Mytilus edulis: one gene and its partner. The protein of the gene in region 2 purifies or fractionates together with the protein of the main gene of each other region. This does not show direct contact. Links are inferred from orthologs where the notes say so. Each region holds a gene or a part of one and is shown on either strand. Other genes may lie near its edges.

Region 1 (7,137 bases), on a different chromosome or scaffold from region 2:
AAATCTTTACCTTGAATAGTTTCTGCAACATTACTTGATCTTTCATTTACCAGTCCTTTAATATGTTTGTTAAGTTCATTATTCATTTCCTTTTCAAAGTCATCTTCACTTGAAGAATCATGTCTTTGTTGGACTTTGGTCTGTAATTTACGCTTCTGTTCAGGTGTTCCATATAAAATAACCTCGATATCATCATCAGAACTAGTGAGAAAATAAATAATTTTTAAATAAAATTGAGAATGGAAATGGGGAATGTGCCAAAGAGACAACAACCCAACCATAGAAAAAAACAACAGCAGAAGGTCACCAACAGGTCTTCAATGTAGCGAGAAATTCCTGCACCCATAGGCGTCCTTCAACTGGCCCCTAAACAAATATATACTAGTTCAGTGATAATGAACGCCATACTAATTTCCAAATTGTACACAAGAAACTAAAATTAAAATAATACAAGACTAACAAAGGCCAGAGGCTCCTGACTTGGGACAGGCGCAAAAATGCGGCGGGTTAAACATGTTTGTGAGATCTCAACCCTCCCCCTATACCTCTAGCCAATGTAGAAAAGTAAACGCATAACAATATGCACATTAAAATTCAGTTCAAGAGAAGTCCGAGTCTGATGTCAGAAGATGTAACCAAAGAAAATAAACAAAATGACAATAATACATAAATAACAACAGACTACTAGCAGTTAACTGACATGCCAGCTCCAGACTTCAATTAAACTGACTGAAAGATTATGATTTCATCATATGAACATCAGGCACAATCCTTCCCGTTAGGGGTTTAGTATCATACCATCATAACATATATGAGAAGAACATAACCCATGTCATGCCAACAAAGGCATACATTGTAAAAGGATACATTGTACATGAAGGTCTAACATAGATCTATATATAATATATCATACTTCTATATGGCATTGACCAAGATCATGTTTTGTCTTACTTTGACTAATTGATGACTGATTGGTTGATGTTTAAACAAATAAGAACCCGTGGTCAAACTTTAAGCACTATTGCCTTGTGGTCAGTTTTTATAAGTGAAGGTGAGAACCATAAACCTTCTGGACTAAATCTTTACACTTTATCGATGTGTGTGATTGATGGTTTAGTCTTTAACACATAATTTCTTTTTAAAATTAATTGTTATTGGCTTTGAAGATGCAAGCTTTCAGAAACTGCAAGAACTCTTAGAACAGTCCTTTTATAAGTTTTTTTTGTGTGTTTTGTGTCAATATGATGATCATGAGTCCAGACATTTTCAACCGATTTTTACTGCTCTTGTGTTGTCACACCATTATCCAACATGTCCAAGGTGAGAGGAGGGTTTGGCACATCCACACTTGTTTAACCCTGTCACATTCTAATCTGTCGGTACAAAGTCATGACCTGCTACATTGTGTATTTATAATAATTTTGTTGTGTATAGGAAACATAATAGTGATGATTACCTAACTTGCACCCATTGTACGATTGATTTTTGCTTCTTTTGGTTGCTCTTACATTTGTACTTGACAAATACAGACTACCACAGAGTAGGTACATGTAGCCTGTTCAACTATTACATGTATATATTACCTAGTCAGAATTTGGAAATATGAAATAAAATCTATTGACATAAAAATATGTGCTTGAAACATATGAAAAAAAGGAAAGCAAATTTCAATTACCTGTGATTTTATCACATAACCATTGGCTGATCACATGATTTATTCTTTACAAGGAATGAATGAAAACAGAAGGCGATTTCTCGTCCAGAAATGGACAATAAACAAATAAGGTGTGGTATGATTGCCAATGAGAAAACTTTAACATGTTTAATCAGTCAGATTTGAAATGATGAGGACTCTTTTTATCAGCTAAAGAACAGTAACAATGATGATAGGAATAATCTAATTTAACTAGAATGTGACTGGTATGGCCAGACAAAAAACTACTGTGCAAAGTTTTCGCTGGACCTAATACATTCAGTTATTGAATCTGGTTCATTACATGTACTTGGAAGAAGAAGAAGCCTAGGACGTATGTATAGGATGTATGTATGGGCCGTCCAAAACATTCTGTATACATTGACATAAATTATTTGTGATACATTTTTGTTCTTGCAAAGGGGGATATAGTTTAATGTTTTGATATATCAATTCATTTCCTATTTTCCCCAATGTGAAGTAGAAATCTGAACATATATCATTTTACATTGTATATATGTAATTTGTAAATAACAGTTTTTATTTTTAACTACGTATGTCTGTATGATAGTAACGTGACGGTACCCAAATTGCACCTATTTTGACAGTTTTTTCATCTACGTTTTTTTATGATGAAGACGAAAATGTCCATTCTGTGTTAATTTTGTAGCCCTATCCTTCTTTATTATAAAGGTACACCAATTTGATTTTTATTCCATATGGAATCATAGAAAAATTGGTCTGAACTTACCTCCAAACCATCCCAGATTCTGTAATGAGGAGTACCCAAATTGCATCCATGCTTAAATTCGCATCGTCAAAAGTCGAATAACAGAGCTTTTGTTTATTTTTTTCAAATATTTTGAACAATTGGATATTTGTCCATGCTTACTCTTCATATTTTAAGAAATGGATACTTGAAACGTATTGTATTTGTTAATTTTAAAAAGATGACGTTTTGATGACGTCGCATGGCGACGTTTCAGTACATTTTGCTTTTTCAGTAAACACTTCATCTGTTGATAAATATTGTGAACGTTTTGTGTATATCTAAATATTTTTACCTATGTTGAAAGACGTGCATAGTATCAAATCATAAAAATACCATTTTTTTAGTCTCTAGGAAATCTTGTTAGATTTTCGCTGCTATTTTTGATAAATACATGTAGGTGCAATTTGGGTACTCGGTGCAATTTGGGTACCGTTACGTTACCTATCGCAAGGCTCTTGGTCACTGTCATCTTCAAAGTCATAGTAGTCGTAGTCCCTATCAGTAATTCTATTCATTTCAAATCAATATCAATAACAACTTTTCTTCAATTTCTGTTTTTTTCTGCAAAATCAAAATACAATTTGTTTCCCAAAATCGTATCTTCAATGTAAATCTGTTAATTCATGTGTAAACGTATTTTCACTCCACTATAAACGCCTAAGTGATTCCCACAAAAATAAAGTAATACGTTCACAGATGCGGACTGTTTTTTGCTTTCCGAAATAAATAATTTTGATAGCACATTGAGACGACGATGAGTATCATTGATGACTCATGCCTAATGACAAATTAAAAAAAAGATAGCTAGACGATATTATAAAAAATGTTAAAACTAGACAAAAAGTCATTTCAGTCCAACTATCATAGAAAAAACTGAGAAATACATTATTGACCCCTGATTAATTATTACTTTTATATGAGTTGAATTACACTGAACGGTTTTATTTTTCATTAAATTTTGTTTAAACATCAGAACATAGACTTCCGCAATAGTAAAATAATAATTATGTTAAAAAAATAAAGAAAACAAATACACATGGATATATTCTGAACCTGAGTTCTGTCTGTTCTGAATCTGAGATATATAGTATCTATAATACTAAAATTACGAGGTCCAATTTGTCAGCCGTCATCACGTAAAAACGACGAATCACAGAATTCAACTTTATATATAACTAATATAGTACAAAGGTGTAGATTAAAAATTACACCACTCCAGGCCCTTTTGTTTTCCACGTAATTAATATTGCCAATAATTAAGAAGTTCCGGGTCGAGTCCGCTACCGATACCAATAATATATTCACCTGTTACCTATTACCTTATCTGTACGTTCCGCATCTGACAGGCGCACCACCAAACGTTGTATTCAGGATTAATATGCTATATACACGGGTCATAACCACAGGGTTGACACTACTAAATTGTCAAATTGTTACCTATTGTATTATTTTAATCAGTAAGACTTTCTAAGATAACAATACGAATACTAAAAATCTGGACTAAAAATAAGGCGTATAGGTACAGTTTTCAATTTGTTAGTGGGTATGACGTAAAACAGCGAAGCAAAGAATTCAACTTTATTTATAACTTATATAGGACAATGCTGTTGATTAAAAAATACTCCATTCCAGGACCTTTTGTTTTCCAAATAATTAATATTATTGTTTCAGTTCGACGGGTTCAAACAGAAAGACTTGAAAGCAGAGAAAAACTGTGTATCTTATAATCGGAATGACTTTATCAGATGACAATACTAATACTAAAATAAGGCTTGCGCATAGTTATATACTTTAATTAAGTCACGGACCCGTGATATCACGGGTGTGTTCTAGTATCAGTATAATAGTCCCAGTTAGGACACCGAACAATAATACCTGTTAATTTGTTTGCATCAAGTCTGTCAATGCCATTATGATGATTTCATGCAGCTTATATTTCATAAAACTTCTCCAATGTGGATTTTAACATAGAGTACATTTTTTTTTCATTTCGAAACAAGATACATTTATTTGCATTGTATTCCTGTCAGTGTAATGTTGTCATTTTCTTGTTATATTTAACATTGCCATAAAAACGGAAGGTTTCGCATGACACAAAACCTGGTTCAACCCACCATTTTTTTTCTTAAAATGTCCTGTACCAAGTCAGGAAAATGGCCATTATAGTTCGTTTCTGTGTGTGTAACATTTTAATGTTGTGTCGTTGTTTTCCTCCTATATTTGATGCGTTTCCCTCAGTTTTAGTTTGTAACCCGGATTTGGTTTTTTTTTCTCAATCGATTTATGAGTTTCGAACAGCGGTATACTACTGCTGCCTTCATTTGGAGAATAAAACTTATTTTTGGCTAGTTTATATAGCAAGCTTTTATATTTTTGTTAATAATTTTTATCGAGCTTTTTAGTTAAAAAAATATACAAAAGAGCACCTGTTAAACTTATATCATCAGGACGCTCAGTTGTTTTTGAAAACGGAAATTTATTTGTTACGATAAGCGACATTTTTCAGCATTCAGTTACCAATTTCTTATAGTCGATGTAAAATAAACTGAAAGCGCTATCAGCTGTTTTTGGCATGTGATTCTTTGTCATTTTCTGTTTTATATTTTTCAAATATATATATATATATATATATAATTGAGAATGGAAATGGTTAATGTGTCAAAGAGACAACAACCCATTCCGTAAAACTTTTATATTGTTAAATGAATGCTTGCACGTAGTATTTGCTTCATTCAACAGCGAAAGTGCTACATATTATTCTTTAGTTTTCTATGTTGTGTCATGTGTACTATTGTTTAATTGTCTGTTTGTCTTTTTCATTTTTAGCCATGGCGTTGTCAGTTTATTTTCGATTTATGAGTTTGACTGTCCCTCTGGTATCTTTCGTCCCTCTTTTATGTGTTATCATAGTTCCACCTGCCAAACTGTAACTAACTCCTATTTTATAATTTGTTAAAGTGTTAAAAGGAATAAAATAATTTCATTTGTTTTTATAAAAGATGACGATTCTTCACTATGTAGTTGATATTTTTTTATCTAAATAATCATCGGCAAGAAATTTCTAAATATACTGCAGACAATTTACCCAAGTGAAATTACTCAAAATAAATCAAACATAAAAAATAAGTACTGTCCTTTCTTAGATTTAGATATTTCATTTTTTCACGGGAATTTCTTCCCAAAAATTTACGACAAATTGGCGATTTTTCGTTCCTTATTGTTAATTTTCATTTTTGGATAGTGATGTTACCTTGGTACCTCGTATTGTAGAAAAATAATTGCAAAATTGGAAATCTTTGATCTCTTTTTATTGTTCTTAAGTTGATGAAATACCTCTATAGGGGAGAATGGGGTAAGTGGACACATTAAGCGTATATACACGTTTCAGCTCGCTGGGACATGGATGATATTTCCACCTCCGTTCCAATAAATTTCTAAATATATTTTATTTTGAGAAAATGCCATTTATAATCTTCAGGTTTATCGAAACACGGGAACAGCTTAAGGTTTCAAAAAGCTAACAAGTTTCTGACACATAATAAATGTGGTCTTAGAAGTTTAATTCTGGACTCTTGAAACTCAATGGGGACCATCTAAAAACGGGAACCAAAATCTAAATACACGGTCAGATACAGCATATTAAAGAACCCCAAGAATTTAAGACTTTGAATTAAACCACAATGAAATTGATGTAGAAAAAAATTAAACAAATTAAACAAAGTATAGAAAAGTTTTTGGGCTCGTCATTTCGATCTAAACGGTTAGGAATATAACCCCAAAATCAATCCCAACCTTCCTTTTGTGGCATGAAACCTTGTGCAACAATTTCATAGAGATCCAAAGACTTATTCTTAAGTTATTGTATGGAACCAAGTGTTTTGACGACGACGACCGGACGAAACCGTCATAACATTACACGACCTCGAGAAGTTTGCGATCGTATAAAAGTATTAAATTTTGAATGGTGCGGATCCAGAATTTTGAAAAACGGGTTAAGGAGCCTCAACGTTAGGAATGGAACAGTCTATGCATTTACCATATATATATAACTTCATAACGGGTGCCGGGTACCCTATGACTACCGCCTAAGTCCGCATATGATTTTAAAAAATCTTGTATGATGGTTTAAAATCTCTCATAATTATGAAATGGTCTGTTGTATTATTTGTATTTTTATCATATCATAGCCATTTTATGCAAATGTGTTTGAGCAAATAAAAACTATGTATTTTCACGTATCAATAATTCTAACCAAGTGTCCCAGATATTAGACATTTTACCTCCCTGTGCAAAGTCCTTTCTCAATCTATCAAAATACATATATCGTTGATTTTGTTATACTCAATAATATATGCTGTAACAAAATCCGGTAATCCTCAAAAAGTTGATGGTATTCCGTAACTAAAGAAGAATAACAATGGTCATGGTAAGAATGTTAAAATCCTTCGATTGTTAATTTATTCTATTACTCAGTTTCATTATGAATAAGAAATTTCATGGCAACTGACAAACAACACGCCACGAATATCTGTTGAAACAGAATGAATTTCAAAGTGATGGAAAAGACATCGCTTTATCATTATACGACAACCTTAGCATTGTACGGAAGCCGATAAGGGCCATTCAAAACAGGGCCGTAACTAGGGTTCAAATTCAGGGGAGGCAGGTTTTT
Region 2 (8,030 bases):
CAGGGTCCAAAATTAAACGTTTGATTTCATCAAAAATTGAATAATTGGGGTTCTTTGATACGCCAAATCTTACTGTGTATGTAGATTCTTAATTTTTGGTCCCGTTTTCAAATTGGTCTACATTAAAGTCAAAAGGGTCCAAAATTAAACTAAGTTTGATTTTAACAAAAATTGAATTCTTGGACTTTTTTGATATGCTGAATCTAAACATGTACTTAGATTTTTGATTATGGGCCCAGTTTTCAAGTTGGTTCAAATCAGGATCCAAAATTATTATATTAAGTATTGTACAATAGCAAGAAATTTTCAATTGCACAGTATTCAGCAATAGCAAGAAATCTTCAATTGCACAGTATTGTGCAATTACAAGAAATTTTCAATTGCACAGTATTGCGCAATAGCAAGAAATCTTCAATTTCACAGTATTGTGCAATAGCAAATATTTTCAATTGCACAGTATTGCGCAATAGCAAGAAATATCTAATTGCACAATATTGTGCAATAGCAAGAAATTTTGAATTGAAGTTATCTTCCTTTGTCCAGAATAGTAGTTGAATCAAGTTAAATTATTGTTTTATACAATATATAATGTATATTCACTTTTACTACCAACTGATAAATTAAAACAATCTTTACCATTCAGTGATAACAACCACTTTATTTTACATTTTAATATTTTATGATGTATTTAAATGAGTAGTTATTGTTGCAAACTCCATTAGAAATTTGAATTGAGATCAGTTTTAGAAAAAGGGAAAGGGGGATGTGAAAAAAAAGGGGGGGGGGTAAATTTTTCTCATTTCAGATGTCATAAATAAAAAGAAAATTTCTTCAAACATTTTTTTGAGAGGATTAATATTCAACAGCATAGTGAATTGCTCAAAGGCAAAAAAAATATTTTAAGTTCATTAGACCACATTCATTCTGTGTAAGAACAATGCAGAAACCTATGCTGTGTCAACTATTTCATCACAATCCAAATTTAGAGCTGAATCCAGCTTGAATGTTGTGTCCATACTTGCCCCAACCATTCAATGTTCAACCTCTGCGGTCGTATAAAGCTGCGCCCTGCGGAGCATCTGGTTTGTTTTGTTTTCATAAAATATAGTTTGATATCTTTAAAGTCTGTAAATATTTAAAAAATCTACCAAATAACAAAAAACTTATGACTATTTTTGTCTCATCCGGTCAACCGTCCTGTCACTAGCCGGTCAGTCATCCTGTCATTAGTGCAACCCGTTTTCATCACACTTAGACATGTTAGAAAAGTGTGGTACTACGGAACAGTCATTATTAATATTTATGCATATTTTTGGTGCTTTTTCAAAAATGTATATCTGAAATATGTATCAAGACTGAAAATAGTGCTATGATCAAAACCACCAGCAATCATTTTTTCCATCTTCAATGTGGGTCTCATTGGGGTCTTAGCGTGACGCGGGATTGCCGCTTTTTTCGTAAGCGTCAGGGCCGTAACTACCTAAGAGGCAGGGGAGGCAACTGCCTCGCCTCCCCTGAATTCTCTACACCAATTTTTTTTTCAAGTAATAAAATGAAATATTGACAATATGTACACGAAGAACTTGAATTTATATTATAAACAACCTAAGTTTATAGTTTTAACAGTGTTCTCATGATTCGTGATATATGTCATTTTCCGGATTTTTGATAGTAATCTCGGACTAATGCCTTAGTAGTTAAACACTCCCATTCGTTGTAGCAGGGACTTTCTATACTAACTTGTAAGTATATACTAGTATAAAAACTTTCAAAGTCACTGGTTATAGTTATATACATGTCTGTTTAGCTTTCAACAATATTGAAATTCAAGGTCCTCGATAAAAAAGATATCTTGCGTTCTATGATATCGATTGATATGTTTTTTTTACTTACCAGTTTGATTTCTAACAAAAATATCTTTAAATACAGATGATAATTGATTGCATAAAAATTGCTTCCAGGATCCAGCAATACTGATGTTTCTTAAAGTAAGGAAATCGAAGGAAAACGGGTCATTTTTAGCCACTGATTCAAGTTTATTGAGAAAAAAATCTGCGGTCACAATGTATATAATGTTAATAATTATAGGTCAAAGTACGGCCTTCAAGACGGGGCCTTGGCTCACCCCGAACAGCAATCTCAGCTTGTTTTTGCATAAAAATTGCGTCCTGGTTCAAGCAATACTGATGTTTCTTAATGAAAGGAAATAGAAGGAAAACGGGTCATTTTTAGTCATTATACTGAGAAAAAATTTGGCGAGGGGCTGTGCCCCCCCAAACCCCCTCTCTTAGGGGCCTCAATCGGCGGGCCCAAACCCCTGCCTCCCCTGAATTGGAACCCTAGTTACGGCCCTGAGCGTGAAACGGGAAAGTCAAATTATTGTGCCGTGAAAACGGGAATTAAGGTCTAGCGGGACACGGAAAATTACAAAAAAATGAGAATTGCTTAGGTACATAGTGTAAGCGGGATACAGGAATCTGACAAAACAGTAAGCGGGATCAGAACCCCTCAATGAGACCCCCTTCAATTCGTCAGTGGAATGAACTACCATCTGGCATGATGATCTGCTGTCGTCACAGCTTCCACTTTGGCAGGATTCAAAGACAGCCTCCAGACACCTGCTTCATGTAAGATATTTCAGTTTTAATTGTATATAACACCACGATGGCTTTTAACCGGATTTGTGTAAATAGTCATTTGCGATAATACACCAGAGGTGGTATGCAAATTATTGGAAGAAGAAGAAGAAGAAGATCTTGATAAAAACAAGACAGGGACAAGTCCGATAGATACGAATGTCATTCCGAGTTGCTTGCAAACCTTCAATATCATCTTCATCCAATATGTCATATTTTCCAGTGTTTTCATCTTCTTCGTCACTATCTAAGGAATGTTTATCTTTGAATCTCCGGGCTGCTTCGTCGTCTAAATCTTCGAAATCTCTCAAATCCTCTTCGCGGTCTTGTTCAAATCGTTTTCGTTTCGACATTTTTAGAATTTTCAGATTCTGGATTTTCAGAGAAAACGAACTTAGTCATATTGAAAATATGATTGTTTATTCATATATAAACGGAAAGGTACATAATTTTCGACTCTAAACTTTATCTTTTTTATATTTTCAATCTCATTCTTAAAAGAATTAACGAAAAAGATCAAATAAATTTTGATTCGTTTTATCCATTGTGATCAATAAAATTTCGAATTGTTTAAAAATGGCAGAACGCACTTGGTTACTGGAGTAGAACGGTCGTTTTTAGGACACTTCATCCCATTAAAGGCGTTTTCACGTAATAAATACTAGTCAAATGTATTTATTGAGGATAAATCTTAAAGACAAATCAAGTGTCTACAGTTTGTACATTGATTTAGGCAAACGTTTTAAAAAAATCCAAGTGGGTCTGGGAAATTATTTCAATAAATAAAAATATATTGATGCATTGACCGTGAGGCTTATGCATGAAGACCTTTTAAGTATTTGACTCTTCTAGTAGTATTAATCAATAGTTAAAATTTTTGCAGCGTCCAATAGTCAAATGATAGTTCTATGGAAACTTTGTGCCCCTACAAAGTCATACCCTAGGAACAGAACTGACACAGATTTTATCAAGCCCTTATACTAAGTACACTCCTTATCACTATTTGTTTTCCATTGCTGGAATTATACATCAGTTTTATCAGCTTGCGCTCTCTCTTTATTTTATCTTGTCTCTTGATCATATTGAATATATCACATGAACTGACATATTAATAAGTCAGAGCTCAGACATAAATAAGTCTGAATCTGCTTTTGACTCATAGAGGTCTAAATTTGTAAGTTTTAGGATTTGTCTCCCTTTAAAGCAAGACAAAATACGACTTTAATAAGTCATATATTGTTAAGCAAGAAGTATTGATCAGAATCAAAAAGTTGCAAATATAGGGCTCTTCACGGTTAGTTCGGCCATATTTGATAGGGGGCAGATTTTTTGGAAAGAGGTGGAAATAGTATGAAAGTATGGGAAATCCTATGCATGTTTCCAAGCAATTGCTCTGTTTTAATGATGTTTTCCCGTATTTTTCACACCATTTGTACCTCCATTGTGAAAATCTGCCCCCTATTAAAATTGGTTAACTGCAAGACCCATGCATATTTATAAACAGGTCATACATCTAAATCAAATAATGGCAACATTGAAAGACAAGGCTTTGTCTTCTAAAGAAAAATATGAATGAGAGTCTAAAAAATCAGAGATAATGTTAATTAAACTTACAATGCAACCATCTGGAACCACAGTTAATGAGGTAAAACATCTGTGTTTAGTAAGGATGTTCAATAAGATTCTTAAATATAGATAGCTAAAGTCCTTGTGAACTTTCCGACAGGTTTTTGCAGTCATAGGTGGTGTACTTTTGGCCACCAATTTGCAAGTAAAATTAAGTTTTTTCATCAACATAAATAGACCTAAACAAGTCTGTCATTTTCTGACTTAGATAAGTCTAAAATTGAAAACACATTTTTATAATAAATACATGTTTTGACTTCTTTAAGTCCAAAAGAAAAATCGACTTGTTTATGTCTGAACTCTGACTGTTAATATAGGTTCATAAAAACATACAATAAAAATCAGTACCGAATTACTGCTAAACTCTTTAATACTGACAACATGATTGATTTAAAGAATATTTCACATGAACTGACATATTAATCAGTCAGAGCTCAGACATAAATAAGTCTGAATCTGCTTTTGACTTGTAGAGGTCTAAATTTGTAAGTTTTAGCTATATATAGGATTTGTCTCCCTTTAAAGCAAGACAAAATATGACTTTAATAAGTCATATATTGTTAAGCAAGAAATTATTGACCAGAATCAAAAAGAATCATAAAACAAAAACACAAGTAAAACAAAACAAACCTTGCAAATTGTCTGAAATAAAACTACAGAAATCTAAAGTTGAAAGCTATCCATTGAATATTAAAAAAGTTATTGAAGTTAGAACAAGTTCAACCATATATTTTCAGGTCTGTTCAGGTCTTTTCATTTCTCTGTTTAGGTCCAACTTTTAACATCAAAAATTGTTTTTTATTTATAACATTTTAATTTTAATGAAATATGGATATTAACATTTTATAAAATTTTAACTTGATGAAAATCCATTAAATTATAAAAAAGTTATTGCAATTTGAATAACTTGAGTCATATATCTTCAGGTCTTTTCAGGTCTTTAGCCCAGCTGGTCATACTACATTCTTCAAACAAAACAATCTGTCATTCTTAATGATCATTTTTGGTGTTGAAAATTTTTATACCTTTTATGCAATACATTATGGTGTAAAATTTACATGGATGTTTTTGTGTGTTTACATTGTGCATTCACGGAAATGTATAATTCTTAAACTCTTAATGATAAATATTAAAAACTTATCATAGTTACTAAAAAAAAAAAATTTCATCATCCTTCTCCATTATACTCTCTTAATTGTGCTGAGAAAATCAGAAGTTGTGCTAGCTATGCAAGAATGGTGTTTGAATATTAAAGGAGTGGAGGAGCACAATCCTTAAATAGTCTGGTGATTCCTGCTTTACATTGTAAATGTTTCAAACCTAGTATTCAATTTTATAATTTTTCTTTTATAGATTAGAGAATGATAATGAATGTCTTGGAACCAACATCTCGTGTGGGAGTTGCCCTTGACCTTATCCTTAAAACACTGATATCATCACAAGATTTTAATGAGTTACAGACAAAGAATTGGGAAGCTATTGCAAGGCTTATACCTGGATCTTCTCCTGGACAGGTAGTACTTTTCAGATACATGTGTACATGTGTATAGGAAATAATTGTCATCTCTCCAGATATGAATACAAAAGCTTTTATAACTTGCAACACTATTGAAGATACTGTGGATTTAAATCCTAACAAAAAAGAATTAATTCACAGCAGTAAAAACTTAAGATTTTTCATTCCACAGACAGTCTTTTCTTATTATAGTTAGCTGTAACCAGGTACAAACTCAGATGAAAATATTGGAATTTGTTCACTAAAACATTTGTTATGTTATTTTTCATTGGTTTAAATTCAATTCAGGTTGCAAGACGATATGAAGAGTTATTGCTGACAGGGGATGTATATGCTATGAATCAGTTTGAGAAAAATTACACCATTCCTGGAGCTTCATCTCAAGTCAGTCTGACAGAATCTGATCTTAGCAGTAAAACTGGAGGTAGTTTACCAGGATCTGCATCACAGAAAGGTGGGCAATTATATATTAGAGTCAAATGTGTTAAAAAGCTGAGGAATTGATTATTTCAGTTTTGCTGCCTTAACCAAAAGGAATATAAAAAATAAGCAGGAAACATAATTGTATTGTAAAGTGGAAAGTTTTTGCCCAAAATTTATTTTTCACTAATTTTATGAAAAGATAAATCATGGAAATATCAATTTGTTCTTTAACATGATTGAAGTAAATAAGAATCAATGACAAGAAAAATGTGATTTTAAATTGCTAACAGATTTTGCACAATAAATCGTGAAAATTAGACTCCTTGTTAAAAACCTACATTACAACTTTATTTTTCCGAATTTCTGCTACCAGATCTGCTATTTTAAGCACAAATCAGTCACTTCAAAACCATATCAAATATTGACTAATAATAACACTAGAATGATATATATAGAATTTCTGTGCTCTAATTTGCTTTGTTTTACATGATCAATATTTTATATTTAATAGGAGATAAAGATAGCAAAGATACAAATGAATCAAAAAGTAAACAAAGTGGACGAAACAGTGATGATCAAGGGTAAGGCCATAAAAAAAAAATAGGTTTGTTTGCCCAAATGCTACCTACCCAGAAAAAAGCTGCCTACTCAAATTCTTTTATTGTCCTGATTTGAAGAAGTTTTTTTTTAATCAGATAGGCATGAAGAATAATAAACACCCGATACTTCAATTTCTCTTTTTGAAAAAAAAAAAAGAAAATGCCTACCTACCTACCCACTGTTTCAACCTTTGGGTAGGGTTTGGGCAAACCAAAATATTTTTAATTGTGGCCTAAGTTTGAATAATGGATGAATAACTCAAAATATGGTAGAAATAAATCAGATCTACAGTAAGTGTCAATGTAACAGCAACCAAACAAAATACACTTCTTCAGGTTTACATAAAATGCTAGTTGTCCACACCATATGATTAGCTCAAAACGGCTTTCAGAAGAAAGTTATAAATAAGTACCAACTTTTATTAGCTGCTAGATAAAAATGTATGCTTTGTTAATATTAATGCTTAATTTGGTTCAGATAGCATTATTGTAACGAAAACTACTTTTAATTCTCTAAGCATTATTGTAATGAAAACTACTTTTAATTCTCTAAGCATTGTTGTAATGAAAACTACTTTTAATTCTCTAGGCAAGATATGTTTTGGGTTCTTAGATGTGCATTATCATGCCATATTTGTAACTTAATAGCCATATTCATAATTTTTCATTTCAGTAAACTTTTGATTATTTGCATTTTTAAAACATGTTCCTAAATGTACACATTGATTTTTAAATTTACAGGAATGTTATTCTGTAGTTATAAGGGATTTTTTTTTTATTTCTATGAAAAACAATATTAACCAATACGAATACTACAGCTTTTGTGACTATAATTTTTTAATAATTGTTGTCTTTTACAGCCCTGTTATGACTATACATGTCTGTGATGAAGCTAAAAGCTGTAAGTAGTAAATCAACCAATATGGCTGTTATAATTACTTAAAACAGAACGAAGGAAACAAACATTTATAGATTTTAAAATTTTTGATTAAATGATATTCTTTTTTGCAAAACCCTAATTAAAAATAGAACCTGATGGTAAAATAAATATTATGTGACAAGATTTACACAGAGCTTGTTTATGTATTCAAGCAGAGACCAATATTATAAAGGGGAAATCTCTTCAAATCTCTAGATATCAAAGAACTGAAAATATCCGAAATTTTTAAAAGCAAAAGTAGTATGATAAAAAATAATTGGTAAGGGTAATCCGCGGATCCCAGTGTCTCG

Evidence for each region. Proteins that work in one complex are often made in the same cells at the same time.
Region 1: the proteins of CD2 antigen cytoplasmic tail-binding protein 2 homolog (region 2) and E2F-associated phosphoprotein-like purify together in Homo sapiens (affinity purification with mass spectrometry; 3 studies listed by BioGRID and IntAct, counting the BioPlex papers as one, with this or other methods). This does not show direct contact. The link is inferred for Mytilus edulis from reciprocal best matches to the Homo sapiens genes CD2BP2 and EAPP.

The regions. Positions count from the first base shown.
Region 1 is NC_092346.1:9,474,901-9,482,037, reverse strand, and holds the start of E2F-associated phosphoprotein-like, read right to left. Parts: upstream 3,100-7,137; 5' UTR 2,981-3,099; coding exon 2,907-2,980; intron 202-2,906; coding exon 11-201; intron 1-10. UniProt on the Homo sapiens protein: May play an important role in the fine-tuning of both major E2F1 activities, the regulation of the cell-cycle and the induction of apoptosis. Promotes S-phase entry, and inhibits p14(ARP) expression.
Region 2 is NC_092349.1:60,053,374-60,061,403, forward strand, and holds the start of CD2 antigen cytoplasmic tail-binding protein 2 homolog, read right to left. Parts: upstream 3,016-8,030; 5' UTR 2,990-3,015; coding exon 2,821-2,989; intron 1-2,820. Other genes in the region: SANT and BTB domain regulator of class switch recombination-like, read left to right, coding at 5,624-5,776, 6,067-6,232, 6,713-6,782, 7,661-7,701. UniProt on the Homo sapiens protein: Involved in pre-mRNA splicing as component of the U5 snRNP complex that is involved in spliceosome assembly.